Ovis aries: one gene and its partners. The protein of the gene in region 4 purifies or fractionates together with the protein of the main gene of each other region. This does not show direct contact. Links are inferred from orthologs where the notes say so. Each region holds a gene or a part of one and is shown on either strand. Other genes may lie near its edges.

What was found.
Region 1: the proteins of ZRANB1 (region 4) and STRN purify together in Homo sapiens (affinity purification with mass spectrometry; 4 studies listed by BioGRID and IntAct, with this or other methods). This does not show direct contact. The link is inferred for Ovis aries from reciprocal best matches to the Homo sapiens genes ZRANB1 and STRN.
Region 2: the proteins of ZRANB1 (region 4) and STRN4 purify together in Homo sapiens (affinity purification with mass spectrometry; 4 studies listed by BioGRID and IntAct, with this or other methods). This does not show direct contact. The link is inferred for Ovis aries from reciprocal best matches to the Homo sapiens genes ZRANB1 and STRN4.
Region 3: the proteins of ZRANB1 (region 4) and CTTNBP2NL purify together in Homo sapiens (affinity purification with mass spectrometry; 4 studies listed by BioGRID and IntAct, with this or other methods). This does not show direct contact. The link is inferred for Ovis aries from reciprocal best matches to the Homo sapiens genes ZRANB1 and CTTNBP2NL.
Region 5: the proteins of ZRANB1 (region 4) and STRIP1 purify together in Homo sapiens (affinity purification with mass spectrometry; 4 studies listed by BioGRID and IntAct, with this or other methods). This does not show direct contact. The link is inferred for Ovis aries from reciprocal best matches to the Homo sapiens genes ZRANB1 and STRIP1.
Region 6: the proteins of ZRANB1 (region 4) and SLMAP purify together in Homo sapiens (affinity purification with mass spectrometry; 3 studies listed by BioGRID and IntAct, with this or other methods). This does not show direct contact. The link is inferred for Ovis aries from reciprocal best matches to the Homo sapiens genes ZRANB1 and SLMAP.
Region 7: the proteins of ZRANB1 (region 4) and HECTD1 purify together in Homo sapiens (affinity purification with mass spectrometry; 5 studies listed by BioGRID and IntAct, with this or other methods). This does not show direct contact. The link is inferred for Ovis aries from reciprocal best matches to the Homo sapiens genes ZRANB1 and HECTD1.

What each region holds. Positions count from the first base shown.
Region 1 is NC_056056.1:87,162,861-87,166,907, reverse strand, and holds part of STRN (striatin), read right to left. Parts: intron 1,479-4,047; coding exon 1,303-1,478; intron 1-1,302. UniProt on the Homo sapiens protein: Calmodulin-binding scaffolding protein which is the center of the striatin-interacting phosphatase and kinase (STRIPAK) complexes.
Region 2 is NC_056067.1:53,621,533-53,626,005, forward strand, and holds the start of STRN4 (striatin-4), read right to left. Parts: upstream 2,906-4,473; 5' UTR 2,875-2,905; coding exon 2,590-2,874; intron 2,534-2,589; exon of another isoform or gene 2,489-2,533; intron 2,444-2,488; exon of another isoform or gene 2,183-2,443; intron 2,093-2,182; exon of another isoform or gene 1-2,092. UniProt on the Homo sapiens protein: Calmodulin-binding scaffolding protein which is the center of the striatin-interacting phosphatase and kinase (STRIPAK) complexes.
Region 3 is NC_056054.1:89,883,533-89,887,579, forward strand, and holds part of CTTNBP2NL (CTTNBP2 N-terminal-like protein), read left to right. Parts: intron 1-3,440; coding exon 3,441-3,671; intron 3,672-4,047. UniProt on the Homo sapiens protein: Regulates lamellipodial actin dynamics in a CTTN-dependent manner. Associates with core striatin-interacting phosphatase and kinase (STRIPAK) complex to form CTTNBP2NL-STRIPAK complexes.
Region 4 is NC_056075.1:43,993,983-43,998,029, reverse strand, and holds part of ZRANB1 (ubiquitin thioesterase ZRANB1), read right to left. Parts: intron 3,279-4,047; 5' UTR 3,242-3,278; coding exon 2,428-3,241; intron 1-2,427. UniProt on the Homo sapiens protein: Ubiquitin thioesterase, which specifically hydrolyzes 'Lys-29'-linked and 'Lys-33'-linked diubiquitin. Also cleaves 'Lys-63'-linked chains, but with 40-fold less efficiency compared to 'Lys-29'-linked ones.
Region 5 is NC_056054.1:87,359,922-87,363,968, reverse strand, and holds part of STRIP1 (striatin-interacting protein 1), read right to left. Parts: intron 3,821-4,047; coding exon 3,694-3,820; intron 3,396-3,693; coding exon 3,295-3,395; intron 2,564-3,294; coding exon 2,497-2,563; intron 1,945-2,496; coding exon 1,840-1,944; intron 1,209-1,839; coding exon 1,004-1,208; intron 1-1,003. UniProt on the Homo sapiens protein: Plays a role in the regulation of cell morphology and cytoskeletal organization. Required in the cortical actin filament dynamics and cell shape. Part of the striatin-interacting phosphatase and kinase (STRIPAK) complexes.
Region 6 is NC_056072.1:43,481,352-43,485,398, forward strand, and holds part of SLMAP (sarcolemmal membrane-associated protein), read right to left. Parts: intron 3,895-4,047; coding exon 3,726-3,894; intron 3,637-3,725; coding exon 3,586-3,636; intron 3,096-3,585; coding exon 3,045-3,095; intron 1-3,044. UniProt on the Homo sapiens protein: Associates with the striatin-interacting phosphatase and kinase (STRIPAK) core complex, forming the extended (SIKE1:SLMAP)STRIPAK complex.
Region 7 is NC_056071.1:39,550,588-39,555,352, forward strand, and holds the start of HECTD1 (E3 ubiquitin-protein ligase HECTD1), read right to left. Parts: upstream 3,039-4,765; 5' UTR 2,247-3,038; intron 954-2,246; 5' UTR 821-953; coding exon 681-820; intron 1-680. UniProt on the Homo sapiens protein: E3 ubiquitin-protein ligase which accepts ubiquitin from an E2 ubiquitin-conjugating enzyme in the form of a thioester and then directly transfers the ubiquitin to targeted substrates.

The DNA of each region.
Region 1 (4,047 bases), on a different chromosome or scaffold from region 4:
TCAATCAAAGGTACTTTAATTTCCTCGCATTTCCATAAAGATTAACATGTCTGTCCTGAATACCTGCAGAAACTGTCCACATTAGATTTGAACATCAGAACAGATTATTCACTACTCAGAACACTGAGTGTATGAGTACTCTACATGGCTTATGCTGGCCATACTGAGAACAGAAACTGGATTGTATTACAGATTTTTTTTTAATAGGCATATGATAGCTCTCCTCATTTCCAAAGTTTTAAGTTCAAAGGTAAACAAAGACTATTGTTACTTGCTTGTGAAGGTGTTATTACTAAGCTACCACCAGCAAGAAATTTCAATATATTTCAAAGTTACAGTCAAGAATATATGATGAGATACTCAACATTCTCTCATCTAATATGATGCCCACTGTGAACTAAAGAACTTGAAGAACAAAAGGCACAGTTTGTAACCAGGAAATACCTTTCTCTGTTAAAGACACCTGATCTACATGAAGATTCACTTGGTTTTAGCAATATCCAGTTGAGCTGTCTGATGAACGTCTAGGTGTGACAGCTGGAATGTCACTGATTGTTTTCAAATTGGGCAGGAGATATTCTCTGTCAGTAGTAAAACTTCTGTCCTCTCCTCCATTTGACGTTCATTTCTACTCTTTAATAAAAAGAGGTATCTATCACTGTAGAAGGGCCCTTGCTGGTAGATGCTGGGTTCTGGACCACGTAATCCAAGGAAGAAAGAGAAAGTACCAAGTGGGATCAGGACTAGCTTGGTGACTGATAAAAGGGGTTTATACCAACTCATGTCTGTCCGTGCTTACAGAGGAACCAAGGGGCCAAGGGAAGTTTAGCAGATAAGTGAGAGCAGCAACAGTACCCCTTCAGTCTAGACATTTTGGTCAAGATCAAAAGAAAGGATCAAAGAGAGGTCTCTTGCCCCCACCGGCTCCAGCATAAGGCCAAACCTAGTAAACAATGGGGAAGGATTGGGGTTGGGGTTTGACGGTTTTAAACATGACTATGCCTGCTTACAACAACAGAAACCTCCAGCGCAGACAAAGGGTTCTCAAAATTTAAGTTATTTAAAACACCAAATAAAGATTATAATCAGCATTCACAAACCATTTCTCCCTAAGGGTCAGTTTTTCAACCTAAATTAGCTTATGAGTATGAAGGCAAAAACATCCTAAATTACATAACATGGTAAGGAAAAAAATTAGAAGAGATATTTGAGGAATTTAACAGCAAATAATAAAGTAAGGCTTTCTCTGCTGAAAAATATTAATTAAATTATTCAAATACAGTTAAAGTAGAATATTCTCACTTTTTGGCTGGGGCTGTTTTCTGCAAATTCCACATTTTTAACGTGTGATCCTCTGATGCTGTTATCAAAACAGGCTCAGTGGGGTGGAAAGCGAGAGCTCTAATACCATCAAAGTGACTTCTTAATGTAAACTTGGGGTTCCATGTCTTCCTCAATGCATCTTTATTATTTGCTATCTATTAAAGAAAAAAAAGATACCAATATACTTAGTTCAGAATGAGGGAAAAAACTGTATTTCAGCATTAATTCTTACTGTTTCATCATTAAACTACCATTATTTTGCAACTTTCAAAATAATGTAATTTTTAAGCAGATAACCAAATCAATAGGCAAAATTAGCAATATGTCAACAATGGTTTTCTTTGAAGAAATATGAATGCTATAATAAGAAAATACATAATTCAGTATAGAAGGAGGATCAAATAACTTAGTAACAAAAAACAAAATTTCACTAGGATGCTTTTTAAAAAGACAAGTGATTTAAACCTGAATTATAGAATATAAAGCAATTCTGGTTAAGAGTTGAAAAACTAAATTATCTTTAAGCATGTTAACATTACAGAATATGATGATACTTTCAAAGTTTTCAGTGGTTTCAGACAAGAGCTAAATTTTCTTCAAATTGGTAATGAAGTTTATATACTGACAACAAAATGTTAAAATTGGAAAAGACAATCAGATATTACGAACATAATTATATATTTACTATGTTCCTTTTCTCCACAGAGGGCTTCCCTGGTAGCTCAGATGGTACAGAATCTGCCTGCAACACGGGAGATCTGGGTTCGATCCCTGGGTTGGGAAGATTCCCTGGAGAAGGGAACAGCAACTTACTCCAGTATTCTTGCCTGGAAAATCCCCATGGACAGAGGAGCCTGGTAGATTACAGTCCATGGGGTCACAAACAGTCGGACTCAACTGAGTGACTTTCACTTTCTCCACAGAATCTCAATCTCAATAACTGAAAAAATAATGCACTGTTTTTTCATTCCAACTAATAGAAAAGCTAAAGAGGATAGTGTTTGACTTTACACAAGCACCATGGATGAACTTCACACTCCAAGGCTAACAATCATGGTAGATTTAAGCAAGTATTTGTAATATATTAGAGAAATGTTACCATACTCACAGTTACAAAAATTATCAATGATACAACAACTGATATTCTATACAGCATTCATTATTTTCTACATTATTCAAAAGACTTAAAAAGCATTAACTCACTTAATCCTCACAACTCTATGATGTTGGAATTAACAGTATCCTCACTTTACAGACTAGCCATTTTAGGGAAAGAGAAGTTAAGTGACTTGCCATCTAGTAAATGGAGGAGTCAGGATTCAAAATCAAGCAATCTGGTTTCAGAGGCTATACTATTAAACTGTAATTTAGAACCCAGACATTTAAAAATCTGCAGAGAAATCTGGACAGGACATGTCACAACTGGGGCAATTCATGCGTGCTAAGTTGTTCCAGTTGTGTCTGACTATTTGCGACCCAATGAACCATAGCCCACTAGGTTCTCTGTCCATGGGGCTCTCCAGGCAAGAATACTTGAGTGGGTTGCCATGCCCTCCTCCAGGGGATCTTCCGGACTCAGGGATCAAACCCAGGTCTCTTTTGTCTCCTGCACCGGCAGGCAGGTTCTTTACCATTAGCGCCACCTGGGAAGCAATGAGTGAAAACAAAACACATTATGCAAGGAACTACTCTAAGAATGGGGCCGATTATTTTGAGGGCAGGCAGGGCTGGCAGGAAGGTTAGGACGACAAGGGCAACCGAGCTGACCTCTTTTATTCTTATAAAAGAGCTAAAAGGTTTTCATGTGGAAGAGTACTTAAATTCCTTTGATTATCTTGATGTGGTAGGCAGCCACTAAGTTCCCAGTCAGCCCCACCTATTTTTACCTTTGGGTAGTCCCCCTCCCTGATGGCTCCGATGGTAAAGAACCTCCCTGGAATGTGGGAGACGCAGGTTCATTCCCTGGAGAAGGAAACGGCTACCCACTCCAGTATACTTGCCCAGAGCATCCCATGGACAGAGAAGCCTGGCAGGCTATAGTCCATGGGGTCATAAAGGGTTGGATACAACTGAGCAACTAACACTTTCACGCTTCCACATTATAGGCATGCTCTGTGATCAACAGCATACAGCAGAAGTTGGAATAAACTACTTCCAAAATTAGGTTATAAAACCTTTCATCTCGAGTGTTTCTGCTCCCTATCTTTTTAGGTGCACTCACATTGGGAAAAGCCAGCTGCTCTGTTGAGGAGCCCACAGAGAGGTCCATGCGGTGAGGAACTGGTTCCCAGACAACAGTCAGCAAGAAACCAAGGCCTTCAAACAACTACATGAGTGAGCCTGGAAGCAATTTTCCCCAAGTCAAGTCTAGGTAAGACTGCAGCCCTTGTCAATGTCTTGATTACAACCATACAAACAGCCAGTCACATAATTAAGCTGTCCCCAGACTGCTGACCCATGGAAGCTGTGAGATATCAACGTTTGTTCTTCTAAGCTGTTAAATGTGGTACAAGTTGTTATGCAGCAATAGATTGCTAATATGCTTAATAAAACTAGGAACTACTTTTAGAAACTGAGACAGACTAACACTAAGTTTTCTAACAATTAAGTTATGAAAAAAGGATGAGCTTTCTCCAGAGAGAGGATTGAATTCCTTTATGTATTAGACAAACTCTTTGCAGGAACAAAAGCATCTAATGGGAATTTCTGCTTCTGGTCATGATG
Region 2 (4,473 bases), on a different chromosome or scaffold from region 4:
AAACACGTCTGTTCTACCACCCCACCTGTTTATTCTGCTGTACACTCACTCAGGAGGGAATACGAGGACAGTCCCTGCGGCCACTTCCAATGGGCAAAAAGTGGAAACTACCAAAAAATCCATTAAGGGGACACAAACTAAATGAGCTGTGGTGCAGACACCGGCGGGGTGCAGTTCCCAAAAATAATAAGCGCTCTGTGTGCTCATATGAAAAAAACGCAAAGATATATAAGTAGGTGAAAATAAGTCACAAAATGATGCATGTAATAGCATGTAAAAGGCGGGAGGAGAAGGGGACAACGACAGAGGACGAGATGGCTGGATGGCATCACCGACTTGAGGGACATGAGTCTGAGTAAACTCCGGGAGCTGGTGATGGGCAGGGAAGCCTGGCGTGCTGCAGTCCATGGGGTCACAAAGAGTCAGACACGACTGAGCGACTGAACTGAACTGAATAGGATTTCATATATTACACACACAGAGCTGAATTACTTTTATAGCAATAATAGGGTTTCGGGGAGTGGCTCTTTCCCTTCTCACTCACTTGGTGTGTGTACATCTACACACACAGGCACTTCTGAGATCCTTGAAATTTACTAATGTAACAGAACGATAACAACAAAGGGGTACAAAGTAAACGACGCTGGAGCCTGGACGCATCGTTCCTCTTGCTGGTCTCAAAGGTGAGGCAGCGGCGTGGTGGGTGCTGCAGGGTACCCTCGTCTCCTATGGCCGCCTGGATGACCCTGGGAAGGTCACTGAGCTTCCCTGAAACAAGCCTGTCATCTGTCCTGGGCGTCAGACAGGTATGGGCTTGAAAGTCCACAGACCACCCCTGCCACCCACAGGCTATGATCCTTGATATACGACTGACCTTCTCAAAGTCTCCACTTCCTCTTTTATTTTTGAAAAGGAAGGGAAGGGGAATAACATCCCTCACCCTCCCAGAATGTTGCAAGGACTAAGTGATACCATGTATCTGCTGTGTCTAACACAGTGTCTCACCCATAATACAAACTCAATAAACAGCAGCTGCTATTATAATTGCTAAATAAGGGCAACGTCCTTGGCCCTGTCTTCACAATGGGGGTATTGAGAAGATCTAATAAGACGTACAGATGGGATATCATAGCAAGGGGTACTTAGGTAAGGCTTTCTCTCCCACTCTAACCCCAAGCCTCAGCCACCACACAGTGAAGATCCCTTTCAGGGTGGGAGAAGTGTGGGATGCTCTCTTTAATCATCCTAGGGAGAAAATTCTAATCTGGTTATTTACTTGGGTCCCCACCTCAACCAGATACGAAACAGCAACTGAAAAGAGGAAAGACCAGATGCTAGAAGGAGATACTGACTTTGCTAACAATGCCCCAACCCTCCAAATCCTCGCCACTGGGATACCCAGGCTCCTCAGGACACTCTGCTAATCGACCCACAGTTCTCAAGGTCACAAAACCCAGCCCAGCTCCTCAGCCTCTTCCAAACATCTCAGGACACCTTCCTCCCTGAATCTACTCCACAAACCATAGGATCTTTTCCCAGAAACTTCCACAAACACCTCCCACCCCAGGATCCTTCTGAAATGTTTCCTCTGGCTGTCTTCCTGCTCTCCAAAAAGGCTCCCCTTGCCATGCCCCAGGTTCCCCGATTCCTCTTCACTGTCTCCATCCTACCGCCCCTCTCCACAGCTGGCCAAGTTTGACCCTCCCATACTCCAGTTCGGGGGTTCTCCATCTGACATCCCACACACCTCACCTCCCATCTCACGGCGGGGGCCCCCACATCCCCAAAGAGTTTCGGCTCTCCGTTCTCTTCCAACACAGGCTCCTGGCTCACGTCCTGGCTCCATCCGTGCTTCCAACCCTGGGACCCCTCCCCTGCACGCGGAAGCCAGGCCTGCCAGGGCTCCCCAAAGTTTCCTCCTCAGAGGAGAGGACACACACCTTCACGCCCCCCACCTCGCGCCCGGAGACCTTGCTCCGCATCCTTGGAGTCCTCAACACCACCGTCATTCAGTCCCTCCAGTCCAAACGCTCCGAAACACACACGCGTCCCGGGCTCCCTGACTTCCTCTCTCGACTCACGCGGGCTCCCCGCCCCGCTCTCGCCCCCGGCTGATCGCAGTCACCCCCGACGCCCCCTCTCCCCCGCCCGGGGTCCATCGGGCTCCGCCTCCGGCGCGCACCTGGTCGGGGGCGGAATGGGGAGTCCCTCGTGCGGCACCCTGGGAGCTGCCGGCTCACTCGTACACAAGACCCCTCATCCCCTCCCAACGCTTCGCGGAGCTCTCCCGGGGCGCCTCGGGGCTCCGCGGCCCCTCTCCCAGGAACCTTTCCGCCGGCCGGCTCGCTCCCACTTCCAGCAGGCCCGGGGGCCCCGCGCCGCCTCCTCCCGGCGACCGCGCGGGCCGCCCTCCCGCCGCCGGCCGCCCCTCGGCCGGCCCCTCACTCCGGCTCCCGGCCGGTCGCCGTCCCCGCCCGCCCCCCCGGCCGTCCCGGCGGCCATTGCTCCAAGATGGCGGCGGCGGCGGCGGCGGGTGAGGCTGGGCCGGGCCGGGCGGGCGGGGGCCGGGGGTCCCGGGGCGGTGCTCACCTGCAGCTCGGCGCGCTCGGCCTCCCAGCGGGCCTTCTCCGCTTCGAAGCGCGCCCACTCGTGCTGGATAAAGTGTAGGATCCCGGGCAGGCTCAGGGGCTCCGGTCCCGCTGCGGGACCCGGGCTGCCTCCGCCGCCGCCGCCTCCCTTGGCAGCCGGGCCGGGCCCCGGGGCGGGGGCGGAGACCAGGGCCGCCCCCGTCGGGCCGGGGCCCGCGCCGGAGCCCAGCGGGCGGCAGGAGGAGGCGGCGGCGGCGACGGCGGCGGCCGCTCGCTCCTCCATCATGGAGGCCCCGGGGCCGGCCCGCGCGCCCGCTGTGCCTCGCGCGCCTGCGCGGCCGCGCCAGCCCTCGCGCGCGCGCTCGGCGGGGGCCGGGGGGGCGGGTGACGGGAACGAAGTCGGGCGCGCGCCTCGCCCACCCGGGTCGACCCCGAAGGCGCGCGCGTGGGAGGGGGCGCGGGGCGGAAAGGGGGCGCGCGCCCGGAGGAGGGCAAACGCGACCCAGGCTCCGCGCGAGGGTCGCCCATGGGAAACGCGGTACTTGGGGGGGGGGACCGCTTTCTACCCCCCTCCTCCCGTTTCATCCCAAAGAAAGACTCTAGCCCTCTCCAGACCCAAATAGCACTCTCCTCCACAATCACTGTCACTCTTTGAGGGAAAGAACGACCACCAGGGGTGGTTTCAGCAATGGCCCCATCCTGATTTCTGGCCCAGGTCGGTTGTCATGGTAACTCCTCCCAATCTGGAACACCCTTAGCCTCCTCTCCCTTCCACCTTTGTGGTTATGGAGCTCCAACTCTCTCCTGGCCCTGCACCAGGAAGAGGTTGCTAAGGTAACCCAAGTCTCTGGTGGTCCTTATGCCCCTACCCACATCGGTTACTATGGCAACCTCACCCAGCCCTCAGGGAGAAAGGACCCCAGCCCCAAGGACAGTGCTAAGGGAAGCAGCTCTTTCCCAGCCCCTCCCCCCAGCCACACAGTTGGCATTACCATGGTAACCATCTCCCCTTTCCCATCGTGGGAGGTCTGTGGACCAAACCAACCAGGTGTTTTTATTTAGAGGAGATGCTCTGCTGAGAAGTAGTTGCTATGGTTACAAGGCCTGGACCATCCCCAGAGAGGTGAGAAACAAGCAAAGCCAAGTCCTGGTTACTATGGTAATGGGGGCAGTCCCCCTTCCAGTGACCCTAAGACCCACCAAGGTAAAGGACATTTTAAGATTGTCTCTCAGGATGGAGTGGATCTAGGGAAGGGGTTGTCATGGTAATACCTTCTGTCACTTCTAGTCTTACCTTTCTGGACACATTTATGAAAGAAGAGGTGGTTATACATTGCTATGACATCCTTCCCATCTCACTTTTGTAGGTGAGATGAAATTGTGTTCTATTGTGTGAAATTGACTGATTGAGGGTCTCCTGGTTTCTCCTTCCTCAGCGATGCAGCTGAGCTGGGCTGGAACTGCTCCCCTGAAGCTCCCTTATCCTGCAACCTAAAAGGTAAGAAATCTCTCAGTGTTACCAGCAATCACGGGAAAACTGCCCTTGTCCCCAAAGGTTTCTCCACATGTCAGATGTTTTCTTTATCCATTACATTACCATTCTAGAGCTGCAGCCAGGTGAAGCCTGGCCTGAAGTGAGCATAGATCCCCTTACACTGTTTCGTGGGCAATGGTAGGACAGTCTCAGCTTAACAGTCCTCTCCTCACCTGACCACTTTTTCTCTCTCACAGCCCCCTTTTGTTTTCCTGCTCTATCTGTAAGTTGTTTGCAGGGATTTTGTCTGTCTTGCAACCTCTGGAAGGATGTGCCCAACCACTGTCTGGTTCATCCAGGGTCTCCAGAACACAGAGGACACTCAATAAATACCTGTTTGTTGAGTGACGA
Region 3 (4,047 bases), on a different chromosome or scaffold from region 4:
TTGATGTGCCTGTGTCTGTCTGTCTCACTGTCTCACATCACTTGCTCTGTGGGAAGGTAGCACATGCTCGGGGACAAGGCCTAACCCAGCAACCAAGCTTGGAAGTGGATCCTCCAGCCCTACTTATACCTTCAGATGCCTGCAGTCCTGGCCAGCAGCTTGACTGCAATCTCATGAGACCCTGAGCCAGAACTACCCAGCTCAGCCCTCAACTCCTCCAAGACTCCTGACCCTCAGAAACTGTATGAGATTAAAAACGGTTCACTAAACATTTAAATTGGGGGTAATTTGTTAAATAGGAATAAATAACCATGTGAAGTGAAGTGAAGTCGCTCAGTCATGTCTGACTCTGCAACTCTATGGACTGTACCCTGCCAGGCTTCTCCATCCATGGGATTTTCCAGGATGAATACTGGAGTGGGTTGCCATTTCCTTTTCCAGGGATCGATCCCAGGTCTCCCACAATGCAGGCAGACTCTTTACCATCTGAGCCACCAAAGAAGCCCAAATAACCATACATACTTCCACTAAAGCTCTTCTTTCATTTATCAAATAATAACATCTATTTTTGTTTATTTTTGTTGTTATTATTTAGGTTGTTAAGTGTGTAACCCATCCAATTCACTTGACTGACGCATTAAGTTGGTTGGAAAATACTATATTCCATCTCATTTTCCAATTCACTGTTTGGTATAATAAATACAGAATTCACTTTTCCCATATTCAGGCCCTTATTAAAATATACTTAAGAGAATTGTTTCATGATAAGGAACCTTTTTTCAATTATTTCACAGATTCTTTTCACTTATATTGAAGCTACCAATTTTATATAACTTGTAATTACTGTACAAGTGATTATGGAATTACAGTGAACTACTTCAAGAGAAAACAGACAGCTTGATAGCTATTCTCAGGGAAGTCTGAGACCTCACCACAGAAGCTCCGCATCCATTACTTGTAACCCTGTGATGCTTATTAATTCTACAGGATAATAACGGTGTGGGTTTTAAAAAGTCATATTTTTAAGGGTGAGTTAACTATGTACTCAAACCTGAGAGGAGCTTCCCAGCAGATCTGATATCAGTCTTGAATTGTACTCCCAGCTCTGCTCTCCCATACCACTTTCTCCATGGTGTTCTGAAAAGGAAAAGGTCATAAAAATATTCAGGTTCGCTTTTTCCTTTTTGCCCTACTAAACCAATTTCAGTACCAATAATCATTTCTTTTCCATAGCTAATCTTACAGAAATAGTAATCATGAGTAAAAGATGTGACAGAAGACTGGGATTTCAACTCCTTAAAGAGTTTTTTTTCCTCTCTTACTTCCTTTGTCTGTTTTGCTAAATAAGGATTTGCCATAGATAGAAATAGCCACAGATAGAAACTTTCATGGAATCCTGGATTATCAATCTCATGTTGTTGTTTTTTTTCAATCTCATGTTTTTATATCTGAATTTAAAGAAACAGACGTTCTTCATGAAAACATTGATAAGTCACATTTGTTTGACATTAATGCTCTTATATACGTAATTAAAATTGGCTTTTTTGTCTACTCTTGCCATGATTTTTTAAAAATAATAGGACTTCCCTGGCAGTCCAGTGGTTAAGACTCCCAACTCCCAATGCAGGGGGCATGGGTTCAGTCCCTGGTCAGGGAACTAAGATCCAGCATGCTGTGAGGTGCAACCAGAATAATGATGGTGATGATGATAAATAGTTTTGGAATTGGTCTTGTCTTTCTCCATCCTAAATGGACTTGATTTTGAAATTTTTGAAATTTTACTGAGAATTTTCTTTTTAATTTGGACCTCAAAATAGGATTCTGTCTTTTAATTTACATGCTCACATGTGCACGCATACATACTTGTAATAAGGTTAGGGGGTTAGTTAACAGTAACTTACAGCAACAAATGAGTTTCAAATTTCTAGTATACAGATATTATCCAAATACTCCAATAATGTCATTGCTGAAGATGGTTGTAGTCAAGCCAGAAGTAAAACCCAGGGCTTCTAACTCTGCTTTGAGCATTTGCCAACCGGTACCAATACAAATTTGTAACTCAAGGCTAATTCCTGAGTCTTAAACTTTAACAGTCTCTATTGAAGAAGAAGGCATCACATGTTCAGCACTGAAACCTGTTTCTTTGTCAAAGAAACCCATGTTCACTTTATTTTCTTGAGGGTTTTTGTTCTGTTTTTTAAGCATGGTCATTGGATTGTGTATTTTTCTTTTCAAATGGGTTCCCACTTGTGGGTGGTGGTAGTAAAAATATATATGTAGCTCCTGATAAAATAATTTTTTTAATTGAGAAATGACAATAGTTTTTGTAACTAGATGTCATTTGAAAGCTTAAATTATACAGTACTTTGCTATGACGTTTGAGGAAGTTTCCTCAACCCTCTATGAACAATTCTTTTTTTTTTTTTTTTGTAAAATGTCTTAGGAAACATTTAAATGTCTGTTTACATGATTGTTAATGTCCTTTATTCACCTGCACATAATATATGATGCTCAAATGAAATAGGACTTCAAATTTTTCCTAGCAGGGACAAGAGGGTAGCTTAAGAATCTCCTTCGACTGCCTTCCTGACCATTTGACCTGACTTGGTGCCCAGGACCAAAGCCCTAGGCCAGGCTCCAAGCACCAGTCCACATTCCCCGCTCAAGTTCCCCAAGCCCTGAAGGAGACAGGATGGAGATGAAAGACAGCAGCCGGACGGAGGCTAGAAGAGGGGGTGGAGGGATTCTGTCTGCAGCCCTAGTGCCGAGAGCCTCCACCCTCTTGACCCATCAGCAGTCGAGTGAAGTTCTATGTGGAGAAATCACAACCAGTCCTCGATTATAATGTAGAATTATTTTTAGCATCCTTTACTTACCTATGGTCACCTTGTTAGGTCTCTAAATCTGTAAACTCATAAAGATATTATGTTTACCATATTTTAGAAATGCAAATGCCATAACTCAGCAAGGAAAGATAAGATATACCCATTGGTAATACAAGCATTCATAAGCTGAGGCAGTAAGCATGGCAGTTCAGGTCACAGACTTTAGAGCCAGGCTGCCCAGAGGGGTTTAAATCCCAATTCTGACAACTTGCTAGCGGAGCAACCTGAAGCAAGTCACTTGACCTCTGCATAGTAATTTACTCATCTGCAAAATGGAAATGATAGCACCATTTTAAAAGTCAAAGTAAAACTTAAGGTAATCTGAATCTGAACACTTGGATCAGCATCTAACATGTAATTAGCACTGTATAAGTATTTGTTCTCATTAGTATGCTGTGCCCCTATTCTGATGCTGTATCTATACTTAGATGGCCCATCTGATTTGTAGTCACAGGTTACTTCATACCAACATCACCACCTTTGATGTCTAACTGCTAGCAAATCCCCTCTTCAGTAATATTTGAAAGCAAAATGCTTATTTTCCTTCTTTCCCAGGCCCAACACAGAGATACTTTCATTGAAGAACGCTATGGAAAATACAACATCAGTGATCCTTTAATGGCGCTCCAGAGAGACTTTGAAACCCTGAAAGAGAAGAATGATGGCGAGAAGCAGCCAGTGTGCACGAACCCGCTCTCAGTTCTTAAGATGGTGATGAAACAGTGCAAGAACATGCAGGAGCGCATGCTGTCCCAGCTGGCTGCTGCTGAGAGCCGGCACCGCAAGGTGGGTGACGCTGACACGAGCCCGCAGGCTCCTGTGACAGCTTTCTAAATAGTGCCTGATACTTTTCTGTCAGCTGCCAGGTCTCATGGTAGTTCAACTGGGAGGTCTCACAGGTGTCCAAAAAAAAAAGAAATCAGCTTACCTAGGAGCCAGGGGATAGAAAATGCAGGTTATTCCAAAGGTTAAATTTAGGGAGTATGTCAGACACATTATTTTAGATGACATTCCTTCTTGATACGACACTCCAAAACACTTGGTTTGTTTTTTCAACTCTTGATCACCCAAACTTTGGCAACAAACTGGGGCTTGACCAAGCCTTGTAGCTGAACAGAGTGTTCTCTATTTGCTTACTTAAGTGATAAATAGAAAGATTAAT
Region 4 (4,047 bases):
CTGTTTAGAACCATATTATACAGTGAAAACTCAAAAATACTTGCTGGTAGGAAAGAGAATCCACAGTACCAAGAACCAATCAATTCTTAGCCCTAAGAACCTAGAAACTACGGAACATGTGGGAATGGGGACTTGACTTTGCTCAGTTATAAGAATTCAAAGAGGCAAAAAGATAGTTACCAAAAAAAACTCAATATATGGAAAGAAAGACAAACATCAAGAAGACACAGTAGTCAGAAATGCAAGAAATAACAGCCATAAAGACAAAGATATACTGACAGGTCTATTGTGCATGTCAAGGGGAAAAAATATTTCAAAGCAGTTCTCATCATTAGATTCACTAACTTGAAGAAACAGTAACCCCAAAGAGGTTAAAAAAATCACTGCAATCTAGTTTCTTACCTTCTATAAACATACAGGTACTATAACACCACCTTACAGTTAATATTAATATATTACACTATTGCCTGCAAAAATAATCCTAACAGTGTTCTAAAAGGCAGATGGGTAGTTAAAGGACAATCACACCTAGATACAAAAGATCACATAAGTTTCCATTTGTATGCAATATTCACAATAATAGTCACTGAGACAGAAGCAGACTGCTGATTACTGGGGTCTTGGAGGTGTGGAACAACTGCTTAAGTGGGTAATGGGTTTCTTCCGGGATGATGAAAATGTTCAGAACTAGATGGAGATGATGGTTGCAACACTGTGGATGTGCTAAATACCCCAAAATTGTTCACTTTCAAAACGATGAGTTTTATGTTATATGAATTTGACCTCAATTTTTAAACATTCAAAAAAAAAAAACAACCCCCCTTCTGTATCTCCGGGTTTTAAAAAAAGAAAAAACACTCACACCATATGTGGTACCTCAATTTGGGGAGAGAAAAAGAATCGATGGGCTGTAATGGGACAGCACAGACGACTGAACACAGCTCAGTGTGCTTTTGTTCCTTGTCCTCAGGACAGGAGAAAACTGGAGCTAACGTTTCCTAAGGGCTGTGTCTGTGTCTTGTGCAGAAGGGCTCATCTGCTGGGACTTTCTTGGGGGGCCAGGACAAAGCTAAAACAAAAAAACAGATTTCTTGAAATCTACTCTTTGGACTTGTAGGTTCATAAGTTATGTACTCCATACTCTTGGGGCTATATTCAGGAGGATAAACAAAATTAATTGGTACTGGGAAATACACACACATACCACACACACAGCCCAAGCCATGTTTAAGGCATAGCTATTACTCTACACGAGATTTAACTTTAGCAGTCACTCAAAACTTTCTTTACAAAACTGAATGTCAAAGCAAGCACCCAACTGGGATGACCCAGAGGGATGGTATGGGGAGGGAGGTGGGAGGGGGGTTCAGGATGGGGAACATGTGTACACCCGTGGCAGATTCATGTTGATGTATGGCAAAACCAATACAATATTATAAAGTAATTAACCTCCAATTAAAATAAATAAATTTATATTTTAAAAAAAGTAAGCACCCAATCCAAATTATTTAAATTTATATAATTAAAATAGCTAATCTACTCAACAGCGATGGGGGGCATACAAAAAACTGCTTTCATTAACTACATCATAAATAATTAACTCACAAGATCAGTAACTGGAGAAAATCTTACTCTCACAACATGGCTCTGTCCCTTAACAGCTCTGAGCCAGTAACTGAGACTATTATCCAGCATTTCCTTAGGAAAGTACCAAAACACAACACACACAAATCATAATCTGAACTATGGAACCAGCTGGCCACATGAAATCAGTTTCACGAAGTTTGCAAATATTCACTACAAGACATTCACAAAAAATTAACATCAGCGTTTTCAAGGTCAGTATTATGTCTGTTCAACTTCTTGGAGTCACACATTTTTGTGATATTTTTAACTTCTGACTGAAGCTTCTACCATCACAAGACGCTCACACTGTTTACAGACACTCCGAAGCTGCAGCTGGCACTCCTCAGTCACATCTTGTTACAATAAGCAGAGTAGCAGTTTTAAACTGCAGGTATATATTTTACTACAGATATGTAAAAAACTCTGCTATAACTTGACATTTTTCTCTCTAAAGATGGAAAGACACATGCACAATGAAATGGAGGCAATACAGGAAAATGTTACGCCAAGATCACAAAGTCAGAGGTTCTTATGCATGCGCACACACTGCCAGTAGCAGCTACCATGCTGAATGAACTAAAGGCTAAATAATGTGACCTTCCTTGTATCTTTCATGTTACTTTTAATATCTTTTCCCAACCCATTCAAAGGACAAGATCACAAACTCAGAGGTTCTTATGCATGCACGCTGGGAGTGTACTATCATGCTGAATGAACTAAATGCTAAATAATGTTACCTTCCTTATATCTTTCACGTCATTAATATCTTTTCCCAACCTATTCAAAAACACAGAAACTTACCCACACAAGCATTGAGGAACAGCCAGTCAGTCTTTTTCATCCTATTTTTAATTTGCTTTAGTTTTTTGAAGTCCACTTCAAGTTCCTCCTTGCTGCCAACAGCACCAGCCAGCTCAATCCTCTGGAAGTCCATTTTCACCTCCGAGTCCCGTTTCGCAGTCGGCGGCGATCTTCTCTGGCTGTTGCCACTGCTACAGCTCCCTCTCCATCGAGCTCTGTCTTGCTCATTAATTATTGAAGAAGCCTCTTCAGTCTCTGCGAACTCAATTGCTTCAATATTATTAGGTCTGGGATGATCGCAAACAACACATTTTTTAGCCTTGGCCCAGTTTTCATATGTGCAAATAGAACAAGTCCAATGCTGGGTCCTTGTGTTCAGTTTATTTCTATCATTGTATTCCTCACAAGGATCAACAGAAAAAGCAACTGGTCTTGAGCCAGATCCTGAGGATTGAGGAGATTCTGTGGGACTCCTGGTCCTACGCTGGGATAAGCACTGAGTGCATCTGATTGCTCTTGGCCAGTTCAAATACGTGCACATGTGGCATGACCATTTATTGGCATTTTCCATGCTATATGAAGATTTAACCCTTGGTCTTGCACTAGAGTCTGGACAGATCAAAGGACTACTTCCTCCTTCGGTGCTGGAAGGATCCCAATCTCTACCAACATCACTTGAACCACTTTTAAATGGATCTTCTGTAATAATTGTTCCACTAGGTCTCTGGGCACGACACATAGTACACTTGATTGCAGACGGCCAGTTTTCATACGTACAGTATTCACAAGCCCACTTAATTCCACGTTCTGACATTGTGCACTTCTTGAAGTGAGTTATGTCAGGCAGGAAGCTATAAATAATTAGGACATGGTTATTAAAACAATAGGTACATAATTTCACCCCTGAAAACATGCCCAAAATATAAAAGTAACCTTCAACTTATAAAATATCAATTTCTCAAGATATGCATGTAACATTTCATACTGAAATCTTTTTTTTTTTAATTTCCAGAGAGACACTGAAGATAGTTCCCAAAGAAAAATCTTAGACCTGGGGATTTAATGAAAATGTACTTTGGAATGCAAGAGAGACAGGCAAAAGGAAGTTTGTTCTAAGAGAGAAGGAGGTTAGAGCAGGAAGCCTCTCACAGAAATGTTTCATCTCAGTCAGGTCATCACCATCAATTTAGAAAAATAACCAGTAATTAAAAGATTCAAAGGTAAGGGATAGAACACAAACCATGTATCTTAAACACATAACATTCTTAAATTATGAGCAACAGACTGCTATGCTATTGAGGCATAGTACCACAATGTTTGATTCACTAAAGAATTCAGAAGATCAAACAGTCAACTCTATCGCTCTTCCTAAGGGAGAAAAGCAGCCTAAATGTGCTAACTACCCACTGCTCTTAATAAGCACAGGTAGAAAAGATGTTGAGGAGTAATGCTTACAATTAACAAAGTAACAATGTGAAACAAGATAATGTTCCTGGCCTATATCCTCAAAATCTTGCTGTCTAGAGTACAAAAAATAAAAACTGCACATTACCTACTCTCAGGACAACCAATCAACGAAACATCCCTGCGATAACCACTAGCATAATCACTCCAATATAA
Region 5 (4,047 bases), on a different chromosome or scaffold from region 4:
GACTTACAGGACTTCTTTCCTAGGTACACAGGAAAAGTCAGGTCAAAGGGGAAACACCAGAGCTACAGAGAAAGAGGCTACACAGCAGTTCACGTGGGTCTGCTGAGGAAAGCCAGGAGGACAGCACACTTCTCTGAAAGTCACATTCCCCCTGGCTCTCCCAGGTAAGAGGCAGGAACCTGCAGATACCCCCGTTTGCTTATTCTCTCAAATCCCTGACCGGGTGCTGTGGGCCACCTTGCCTCTACAAATTCAGGGCGTTGGGAGTGCAGATGCAGTCACGTGCCCCTGGTGCTGTGGTCAGGAAGTCTAAGGGTGCGGCAGCATGCTTGGGGATACCAGGAAGACCCACTCTGCCAGGGAGGCCAAGGCGGGAGGGGAGGAGCACGTACAGATACAGAGGGCTACAGGGAGGCACCCTGCCAGGAGAGGGACCAAGTCCGGGGCAGGACGGCCAACGTGCTCAGAGCCCCAGGTGTGATGGAGGCTGGGCTGAGGAGGTGGAGCAGATTGCAGAGGACAGGGAGGGACCATGTGTGGGCCCTATGCGCTTAGAGTTTGGCTCTAATTCTTAGGGAAATCAGAAGTCAGAGAAGGATTACACTCAGAGAGATACCACCACTGGATCTGGGTTTTATAAAAATCACTAGGGCAAAGTCTGAGGCACTGATGAAGGGAAAGGAACCAGAGGCAGGGAGGCCATTAGGAGCTGCGAGAATTTCGGTGACCAGAACCAAGGCAGCTGCAGGGGTGAGAGAAAGGACGAGAGGTTGGATAAAGGCTTGTGACAATTCCTGGAAAAGGGAACCGGAGGCACAGAGAGGAGCAGGGATGACCACAGACACAAGCCTGGTAGTCTCTCCAAGCCCTTCCTGGGCGTCCCATTCTGATGCTACAGACGCAGGAGCTGGGCACTTCCAGGTTGCTCGGAGGGAAACTTGAGAGCAAAGGAAGAGCTGTCACTGTCCCCCACTCCCTTCCCTCGCCTCACACGGAGCCTCACCGTTGCCGTAGGCCCAGTCGTCATTCAGCCGATGCCGCACCTTCTGGTAGATGGCAGACATGGTCTTCATGTTGCTCTTCCGCCACTGCCGTCCCAGATACTTGGTCTGCACCTTGAGCAGCTTCAGCACATACAGCTGCATCATGGCCTGTTTCACTTTCAGGGCCCGCTTCAGGATGGGGGCTGACTTGAACACCACCAGCATCTGGAAAGGGGCACGAGGGAGGCTGTGTTGAACGCAGAAATAAATCCACTGCTGCCCCTCCGGGTTACAGGTAGGGTGACCAACTGTCACAGTCTTCCTCAGACTAAAGAGTTTCTTGGGACATATGACTTCCACTAAAGTCTCCTGGCTAAAACTAGGCAAGTCCCAGGCAAACCTGGATGGTTGGTCACCCGAGTTATGGGTCATTCTGGAATCCGAAGAAAGCTATGGAGTCCATCACCCAAAGTATCCCTATGTGCAGGTACATACAATTCCAGGGGGTGAGTGGGCCTCCCCACCTGAGGCATCCACAGACTCAGAGTTGAGACGGTTCTCAGAACCCTGGTTATGTTACCAGTGGAGATTAAGAGGCTATTCAAAATTCCTTCTATATTACATGAGAATTTGTGTCAGTGCTTGACTGAGCCTCTTCTAGCTTCCAGTTCAACTGGTCGAGGAACCAGGGATCCACCTCCACATGTAAAGATGTGGCTACAGGAAAGTTAGGTGAGGAGGATGCGGCTGCTCCAGCAAGCCTGGGCACTCCCTGCCCCCACGTGAAGGGACAGGCCGGTGTGTGTCACTCTGCTTTAAGCTCCGGGACTCATGCCTGCTGGCTGTGCTGACTCACCATCGTCCTCGAATGCTTCCATTTTGTCAGCTTGTTCAAGATCCGAAGCAGATTAATACAAGAAAAGAGGTTTCTCCAGCAAAACTGGTTATTGTCACCTGCTTCCTGCAGGGAAAACCCAGCAACCATCGTCTCCTGCACAGCTGCAGGCGCCCCCAGTTTCCCAGGCCCTCCCATATATGACCTCAGCACTGCGCGTCACTCCATGTGGGCACTAGGAACTCTCTCCTCTCCTCAGCCCGGGGGCATGCCATCCCAGAAGCTGGCAGAGGGTAGGGGGTGCTCCCTAGAATCTTCCTGTAGGGAACGTGGAGCATGACATTGAGGGCTCTGGCCTCAGCCCCCACTACCTGGGGCACCCAGGCTCCCTCACAGCTGTGGCCCCAGAGTTCCAGCGTGGGGAGAAGGAAACAACTCGACCAGGTGAGCTCTGGGTCAGCAGCCCCTGAAGACCACAGTCCTGACAAAATAATTTCTAAATCCAAATGTTCCTACAAGGTCCCCTTCCTGGTCCTCCTATGCAATGTCAGTGCTTCAAAAGCCAGGCACTCAACAGTGAGCTGACCTGTGAAGACACCTTTCCCCCAGGTGAGGGGGCAGGCTCTCCAGTCCAGCCCTTACCCAGAGGAAGCACTGGGGCAGAGGCCAGCTACTCACCAGACTCTCGGCAGTCAGCTCTGGCAGCTCGTGCACCACACAGTGAGGGTAGTCCAGGACAGAGATGCTGCAGGGAGCAAGAGAACAAGGCACCCACCATGAGCAAGGGCTGGGGCCTGGCAGAACGGCCGCTGACTCCTGGCTTTCCTCTCTGGCGTGCCGAAGCAGAAACAGCAATCTACCTTGTCTGCTCTACCCTGACAGGGAAACACCTGCTACGAGAGCACTCGTAAGACCCCTTTGTAGCCAGAGACAAGCTTGTAATCTTGTGAGGGGTGGAGAGAGCATGGTATCCCTCACAGCAATACATCTGGGGCTGGTGGTCGATTTCTCAAGGCAATTAATTTACGCCAAACCCCTCCTGGAGACTGTGTCTGGCTAACAGCTCAGCTTGCGGTGTTTCACAGTGTGAAGTACAGCTGGCACCAGGTGACGGGGTGGGGTAAGAGCAGACAAGCCATCACAGTGCACATGGCCGAGCTCCTGGGAGCAGCAGGCAGCCCCGCCAGGCTCCTCAAAAGAATGGGGGACACAGAAGGACTGAGGGCAGTACTAGAGCCCAGGATGAGAACCCTCCCACCCAGGCACAGACAGACTGAGCCCCCTATGTCACGAGACTAGCCAGACTCAGGTATGACAAACTGGTGTTTTCTATAGACCACGTCTCTTTCATCTTTGGGTCCTGACATCTGGCAGAGCACCAGCTTGTGGACGCTGACTGGGCTCAGTGGAAGAGGCCAGCTAGGAGCCCTGCCATCTGGCCATACCCACCCCTTCCTGATCCCTGGTCCTTATCACCTGTTCTTGGCAGTGATGTAGGAAATAATGTTTTGATTGAAGAACTTTAGGATCAAAGGGATGCAGTTGGCAAACACCAGGTGCTGGGCCATGTACTCAAACTGAAAGCAACAGGAGAAAAAATAAGCATGCCCCCTATCCCCGGGACGGGGGAGCCTGCCGGGCTGCCACCTATGGGGCCGCACAGAGTCGGACACGACTGGAGAGACTTAGCAGCAGCAGCAGTTGGGATCTCACCCTTTCTCTCGTGATAAAAAGCCTCGTGTGGAGGACTGTTTCTCTGCACATTTGCGCAGAGCTCAGGGAGGTTTGAAGGCCAAGCCTCTGTTCTTTGGGGCCTGAGGAGCAGCACTGCCCAAGGGCCTGGCCCCGTGGACAGAAGGAAGGGGCTGTAGATACCTGATAGACGTGGTTCAGCTTGAAGTGCTTCAGCAACAGCAGCAGGACGGCAGAAATGGCCTTAACGATGACCTCTTTGTGGCGGTTCACATCCACTCCCAGCTTCATGCTCTGCAGCACTGTGGTGCTAGAAGCACAACCCCGGGTGAGGCCCCAGCATGTGCAGCACCTCCTGCCTGGCGCTCCCAGGAGACAGGACTCCTGAGCCTTCTCGGGGCAGAGCTCCCACCTAACCCTCCACCCTACGGACATCTCAGAGGTTAGGCCTGGCTCCTCCCACCCACCTCCCAAGCAATCTAGCTCAGTACACCTGACTTCTTCCTTCTGATGCCCCAAACATATTCTTGGCCTATT
Region 6 (4,047 bases), on a different chromosome or scaffold from region 4:
TCAGGTAGTGCATGTAAATGATTTGGATCACGACACTTTTAGTATTTCATTCCTTGAAATCAAGCCCTAGGGAATTCACTTTGCCAAGACTATATAAGATGTCACTGATCATCTAAACCAGGAGTCACGAATCAGATACTGAAGTGTGAGGGCAGGAGGAGTGGTGATGGTGTCCTGTGATACTAAAGAGGGTTGTAGGAAAGCAAAGAAAAGTAGCCACAGAAACATAATAAGAATCATGAGACAAAATGTGTTTTATTTATACATGGGTTACCTACGTATTTCATTCAGACCTGTGTTGTCCGGTACAGCAGCCATTAGCCACATGTGACCACTGAGCCCTTAAAAAAAGTTGCTAGTTTGAATTGAGATGTGTTGTCAGCGTAAATTAAGTATCTATAGGAAATGGCAACCCACTCCAGTGTTCTTGCCTGGCGAATCCCAGGGACGGGGGAGCCTGGTGGGCTGCCGTCTATGGGGTCGCACAGAATTGGACACGACTGAAGTGACTTAGCAGCAGCAGGCCTCAAAAACTTACTAAGGAATAAAGAACGTGAAATACTCATTTGTAATAGTTTAATGTTGACTACATATTGAAATAAAATTCTAAATACAGTGGGCTAAAGTAAACATATTATTAAATATATTATTAAAAATTTAGCTATTCCTTATTGTATTTTTAATGTGACTACCAGAAAATTTTAAATTATGTATGTGGCACTCAGAATAGTTCTATTAAACAGCACTTCTCTAAATACCATCTAAGATATATTCAAAACATGCTTACTAGGTAACATTTTAAAAATTATAGTACAAAGTTGTGCTTATAACAGCTACTTTAGATTTAAGTAATTTTAAAAATGAGTTTACTGGAGAAGTATTATTAATCTTAACTTCTCCAGACATGTTTGAAATATTCTCTTACAACTAAACTTGGTTCTCCTTCTGCTGCTTAAAGAGTAATTTTGGTTACAATTATATCTAATAGCATATTATAACTACAGACTTTGACAATATTTGAATACTTGATAATCAGTCTCTTATTATATCATAAATGATTCAGAATAGACTCATCTTATCCATAATCTACTCTGTAACTAAATATGAAGCTTCTGTGCTTATCCAGATACTTACTACTCAGGGCTTCCCTGGTGGTGCAGAGGTTAAAGCGTCTGCCTGCAATGTGGGAAGCTGGGTTTGATCCCTGGGTCGGGAAGATCCCCTGGAGAAGGAAATAGCAACCCACTCCAATATTCTCACCTGGAGAATCCCACGGACAGAGGAGCTTGGTGGGCTACAGTCAACAGGTCGCAAAGAGTCGGACACGACTGAGCGACTTCACTTTCACTTTTCTTTAAAGATATTCTATTAGTCACTCACACACTACTCAATTAAGCACTAACATCTGCAAGGGAAAAATAATCATTGCCAGGAGTACCCTAAGGTATCCAAAATATTAATATTTTATTCAGTTTTAAATCAAGGAGTTGTCTACAGCTTTTCTCATTTAAATAAACTAGAACTGGCAAAAAATTGTTAAGCCATAATTTTACAACCCTAAATAGCATAATGATGGTTCAGTGTACATAAAAAGATTATTAACTAAATAGAATGCTCCCAGCTTGAATTAACACTAGCTTTATCAACAAATACATGTTCTAGTCAAAAGGGTGATGGATTTGAATGAGAAGTGTATATGCCAGAAAGAGAAAAAAGAGCAAAATAACAACAACAGAAAATATAAATTCATTTAAGAATGAGAAGCTTTTAGAAGATGAAGATAAAGTCTTTTTACATATGTTTACTAAATATACTTTAATAATAATGGTGCATGAACATAAACTACACCTTTAAAAAGTCTCAAATTGAAACTCAAACTGAAATTTTATAGTGTCAATGTTATTTCACAAAGCATATATAAAATAGTCACATAATAATGACTGATGAAACTTTTTTGAATTTCAAGACTTATTATACATGGAATATTAGCTCTTGATCTTGTACCTCACATATACATGGTTACCTGAGCCTATTATTCCACTTCCTGATTAAAAACAAACCAACCAAACCAAAACAAACCAAAAAAGCACTTCCTAACTTTATCAGAGTTTAGATGCCGCCCAAGAATTATAAAGTTATCCCCTGATACATGGAAAAACTATTTAGTATGAAGTTTCGGGTACTGACCTTGGCATCTTCTATATATAAACACTGAGTTGAGAGGCACATATATTTGTAAACACAGAAAATAATTTTATGCATTTTGTACTCTAAGGATCTAATGCAGAATCTGGCATATAGCTGGTGCTCAGTTAATGTTGGATGAATGGGGAGGGAGGACAAATCTTCATGACTGCAGGAATACAGAAACCATTGAGTAGAAAACTCATGTTGCAGTAGGAAAACCAACAGTGGTTATACATTTGTGGCAAGAGATAACCCAAGCTATCCAGAAAGAAGGATCAGATATCAAGAACAAAAAGATAATTTTTCAGATGGCATACATGACTGACTCCCTTTTCTCTGATTGATAAAACAGACAGATAAAGAGAGCAGTTTCGATGACACATCCAAACACTCACTGGACATTTTTTTTTCTTTCTATTTTTGTTTCTTTTTTGGACTTTTAAGTAAACTCTTGGCCAGGAAGGGGGCAGGGCACAAATATTAAAAAACAGGGGCCAATTATCCCCAGAAAGCAGTACTTGATGAAAGAAAATGGTGGTATCGTCTTTGAAAATATAGTAGAGGGCAGGGGAAGCTATACTAGGTTATATAAACCAACACTAAAGTTGAACATTATTAAAATCTTACTATTTCAATAACTGAAATTTCCATATAACAAGGGACATCTAATCATAGCTCACAGAATTAAGAAATAGAAAATAAAAGGAAGCTTGACTTTTAAAAGATGGGATTTAACAGTCTATGAACAGCATGCTTTTCACGCCAAACACTTAAAATCTAAAATCCCTGACTTCTCTATCCTGCTTAAATAGTAAAAGGATATCATAAAAGAAAAATATTTAAGTTTTTTACACTACCTTTTTCTGTGCTCCCATTTATTTTAGGTAAGAAGTCATCAACTTGTATCCCTAGGATTAAGACAGTGTATCATTGCCTGATCAAAAAAAGTATTACTTTAAAACTGGTCTCAAGTGTAACCATGGCATTTTGTATTCCTACTGACATTAAGACTGACTGAACAGTTTAAATTTATTTTTACAAGAAGGGTTCAACTTGCCATTTTCTATCATCTTAGCGAAAAGCCTAGAACTGCTTAGTAACCTTTCGATAAACCTCAAAAGAAAAAGGATTCTGCTGTTCATGTGTTTTTCTTATTTAAATATCTCTAAGCAGACCATCTCAGATGTATAAATTTCATTCATTTCAAAGACTACACAATGGTGCCCACTGGTGGCAATCAAGCATATTTTTAAAGGAAATTTTCTGAAAGAGGGTAGATACTTTACACCTAATATGTAAAACATCCCTCTTAAAGAAAGCAAGTACACAATGTGAGATAGTAAACAAAAATTTAATGATAAAAATTCAGCTTTAAGTAAGAAATCTGGTGACACCTACCTAAGCTGCTGCATTCTTTAAGAGTTTTCTCTTGAAGATGTTCTAACCGTACTGTAAATAAAAGTCCAAGAAAAAGATATTTCACAGATAAAAAGAAAGAAAAAATTAAATCAGATCAATTTCTGGATTAGCTAACTTACCTTGTAAAGCTGTTAGCCTTTCATTGGTAAAGTCATTATCAGCTTGCAAAGCTTCTATTTTTGCTTGGAGCTCCTGTTCTTTTTCTTCCATTTCATCTATCTTATGTTGTAATTCTTTTTTCTCAGCTTGTCCCTTCTGTTGGATTTCTTCTTGTTTTCCCTCTGCTATCTGTTGAAAATGAAAAAAAAAAATCCAGCTATTTAATAAAATCTGACCTTGTTTTAAGATGTCTAAAACAGGACTCCTTTTATTCATGTAAATGATGTCAAAAGTGATATGCACTGTGTCATCCCTCTGTATCAACTGAGAGAGAAAAACTTG
Region 7 (4,765 bases), on a different chromosome or scaffold from region 4:
GTATTTGTGTCATCACAATTATCATTACTGGAGTTAGTTTACCTACCAATTTTTATTTCTCAGAAAATTGTTAATGCAAAACTACAGAAGCTTTTCAAAAGATAAGTTTTAAAACTCACTAAATAAACTGGAGCCTATTATACAGACTGAAGTAAGCCAAAAGAAAAACACCAATACAGTATACTAACGCATATATATGGAATTTAGAAAGATGGAAACGATAACCCTGTATGTGAAACAGCAGAAGAGACACAGATTTATAGAACAGTCTTTTGGACTCTGTGGGAGAGGGCAAGGGTGGGATGATTTGGGAGAATGGCATTGAAACATATATATTATCATGTGTGAAACAAATCGCCAGTCCAAGTTCGATGCATGATACAGGGTGCTTGGGGCTGGTGCACTGGGATGACCCAGACGGATGGGATGGGGAGGGTGGGGGGGGGGGAGGGTTCAGGATGGGGAACACATGTACACCTGTGGCGGACTCATGTCAATGTATGGCAAAACCAATACAATATTGTAAAGTAATTAGCCTTCAATTAAAATAAATATATTAAAAAAATAAAACTCACTAAAGAAAAATTCTATACAAATTCAAATCAGCAGATGGTTGAAAACACGTTATGCCCAGGTCACTACAGCATCCCCAAATGAAAATGATGAAGGGTTGCACTTACGTTTCAAAACAACGATCCACGTTGTCAGACATCAAAAGCAGCATGCATAGCTGTTCAAGGGCTATTAGTTGCATGTCCCTTTCATCTCCTTGTCCCATCTGCAGCCATTCCAGCAAAGTATCTGGGTCCACATCTGCCATTGTTTCTTAGGCTTCTTTGCTTAAATTTAAAAAGCAAAGGCAAAAATTCCTTTAAATGTCCAGGACTGAACAGCGTGGGCTTAATTTTTTTTCTTTTCTTTTACATCGGCTAGAGCCAGATTTTCTTGGTATCCTAGGAATTAGAAAAGACTTGTAAGTATGTTTGGATAGTGTACTTAACCGTAGTTTTCCAACTTTCCTTATTCCTCGGGTTTAACTTCATACATTGTACTAAATAAAACCAGTTTTGCACAAGAGTATAAGCTGATTAGGCTGCTGCTTAAACTGGAAACCAGAGCCGCCTTTGTCAAAGACAGTCAAACAAGCTTCGGATCCCACTATTGCTATCACCAACATGTTTGCCAAAAGGCAAACAACACCTTACTAAGGGTTCTTTTTTTCCCCAGAAAACTTCCTTCCCCCTCCGTCACCCAAAGCTGATCTTCTGATAAGGATTAGATTCAGTATTTTAAGGAAACTTAGCACTTTGATCCAATTCCCCTCCAAATCAAGTCTCTAAAATTAACTTCAACTTCTTAAATTCTGCTGATTTAATTTACTGCTATCCTTAAGATGTCCAAATACAAACAATATACAAGATCTATCTATGATTTGATTAGGAATTTTGGCAGTAGCAGCAACTGTTCTTAAAAGTTTAAAAAGAAATGCTACAAGTAAGTGCAATGGACTAACACGTTACAGATCAGAACACAGGCCAATCTGCGGTCCTCTTTACCCATCCTCACCGAACGGGGCAGTTGGTTAAAAACAACAGCAGCCAACAACAGAGAAGCAGCCCCAACTGGCAAATCAATACAAAAACTCAAAAGCACTCTGACGAGAGGACAGCGTTGGGTCCCTCGTAACCCAGCTGCAGGTGCATAAATCCAGCGGCAGGTTCCGGTGGGCACCCAACGGCGGCGATCTGCAAGGGTGACCCAAAACTCGGGGCCCAGCCGACCCGGCGCCGGGAGACGCAGGCACTGCGCTCCGGTTTTCCCGAACCAAACCCGGCTAAGTTAGCTACCTGTGTCGAGGAGGAGGGTAAGTTTTGGAGGTGGAGCTGCGAGCCTCTCTACCCGAGAGAAGGAGGCCGGAGCAGGCAGGGCGATGGGTCTCCCGGGAGCGGCGCCCGGAACTCCGAGGCCCGGGGGGACGTCCCTGGCCCCGTCGGGCGGCGATCCTTTCTCAAGGACAAGGCGGGCCAGCCATGGGCTCTGGCTCGGACAAGCCGGGGCCCGCCGTGGGCAGAGTCGGGGGAGGTAAACAAAGGGGCCAAGCGGGTGAGTCGGCGGCAGCCCGCCGACCTCACCAGGGGCTGGGGTCTCGCTCCCGGGCTACCGCCAGGCATCCCTGATCCCGGAACCAGGCCTGACCCTTCCGACCGCCGAAGGCGCTCCTGCGTCCCCTTTCCTCAAGCTCTTACCCAGGCCCGTCGTCTCAAACCGCTCCGGTCCAGCTCCAAGCAGGCCGCGGGCTGAGCCAGGCCCGGCCGCGGCCCTCGAGTTCCCAGGAAGCCGCAGGCCGCGCAGGTCGAGCCGGGCTGGCGGCACAGGAAAAGCCGCGCCTTGTCCCTCCCCTTCCTCCGCGGGGACCTGCTGACAGGAAAGCCAGAGGTTCCCCAGACCGGCGGCAGCCAGCTCACGTCCCGACCCCGGCACGCGGCTCCAGAGGCCTGCAGCTTAGAGGCCCGCGCCGTGCTGCCAGCGGCGGCGGCGGGGGGAGACCGCGTCCATCGCGATCCGGGAGGGGGAAGGGAAGAGGGTCGGGGGAGAGCCGGGCGGGGAAGCTGAGGAGGGCAGCAGTGCGCCGCGGAGGCGGAGCAAATGGGCTGCGCTGGCTGCGACCCCGCTGGCCGCCACGTGGGGCGCTGTGGAGACCCGTCGGCCCGAGGCGCAGGGGCGCGGAGCGCCCGGTAGCTTCGTCGCCGCTACAGAAGGTCTCCGGCTCCCTCGGCCTCGTCAGTTGTCGCTTTCCTTTCGTACGCTCTGCGCCTTCACGTTTCGTTGTCAATTGAAGCGCGCTCCCAGCACCGCGCACATACGGGTGCACGCACGCTCAGCGTGTTTTGCACGGTGTGTATACACTTGGCGTGCTCCTGCTGAAAGCCCCAACGCTGCACGTCGAAGCTGCGGCCCAACCTGTCCGGGCCCGGCCTCCCGCCTCTGGGACCCGGCCTCCGGCGAGAGCTTCTCCTCCTCGCTGGTCTCCCCTCCTCGCGCACGGAAGTGCATCGCGGGAAGAAAAGCGCCACCCTTCGGTCCTGGGAGGCAAACTGCCCGGCAGTTCAGAAAGAAAACCTTTGACCACAACCCTGGGAGGTAAATATTGTCGAGTATCCTCTCCACTGTACAGACGAGAGAGCTGAGGTTCCAAAAGGTTTGAATTCAGGCCCGGTGGCGTTCCCAGGAAGCAGCAGTACCTCGAGTGTGTTTTCGACTTTTTCCTATGGGTTGTGATATTAAGTATGTCTGTAGTTAGTCCCTTCGAACGTTTTATTTCACACGCGTTGAAAACAAAACATGCCTGCGTATGAGAAGCTCTTGGAGACAGTTGAGACGTAATTAGTTGGAAATGTGATATAGCTTTCTTTTTTTTTTTTTAATCAAGAAATGAATCCCTTGGTTTGTGAGATAAGTAAACCATGCTCCTACACCCACTGTATTTAAAAAACAAAAATGCGTATTAGTATTTGAGGCGTGTTCCTTTAAGCAGAGGAGCTGCTGCATATCTTTGAAGAACTAGTATTTTGTAAATTACGCATTTGCGCCTCGAATGTCTATAGATACATGTCCCACTATAGCAGGTAAAGTTCCTAGGTCTCCTGCTCATAGGTCAAATTAAGAGATAAGAGTTGAGGATTCCACTATCTTGTCCCAACTACAGCACATAAGAATGATTATTTGAGAGCTGTGAATGTGACTTGGAGCTGCCAGGAAAATCTTCAAGGAGGAAGTGGCATTTATTTGGACCCCGAAGAAATGGGTATAAAGTGAACACTACAAGGGAGGAGGAAGAAGAAAGCAAAGCCTGATCAGTTGTAAAATAAAGGAAAGAGGACCTGTGCCTCAAGCAAAAACCAGCGTTAAGCAATGATGGAGAAAATAGGAGCAAAAGTCAGCAGGGACTTAAATGTGTGCGATACAGAATTTATGCTGAGGTAAAGTAGCAAGTTCTGGACTAGAACATTGACTGGAAAAGTTCTAAAGAGTCTTACAAAGATGTATAGGGCGAGAGTGACCAGAACAGCTAATAGGAACTACCTTGAAAAGGAGATTAACTGGGAGATTGGAAAAATCCTCCAGCAGTGGAGAGAGAAAGGGTCTAGTTTTTGGCAATAGGAAGACAGTTCCTATGGAGAAGAAATAAATCTTAAAAATGTTTTATACATGCAAATGTTTTATAAATGCCCCTATACATGCACAGCTGTCAAAAGTACTCCATGACCTAGTACATTTCTGACAATGAATGTATGTCAATAAACCATTATTACTCAAATTCCATAGTTTACATTAGAGTTCACTTTTAGTGTTGTATATATTCTGTGGGTTTAGACAAACATATCTTGACATATCCGCCACTATAATATCATACAGAATATTTTCACTGCCCTGAAAATCACCTGTGCTCTACCTATTCATTCCACTCTCATCTAGCCCCTAACAACCACTAATCTTTTCACTGAGTCTGTTGTTTTACCTTATTCAGAATGTTGCATAGTTGAAATCATATAATATATAGCCTTTTCATATTGGTTTTTTTTCATTTAATAATGTGCATGTAAGGTTCTCTTCATGGCTTAATAACTCTTTTTTTGTTTTGTTTGCTTGTTTTTAGGGCCAAATAATATTCTGTTGTCTAGAAGTACCAGAGTTTATCCATCCACCTACTGAAGAACATTTTGAATGTTTCCAAGTTTTGGCGATAAAAGTACTGCTATAAAGA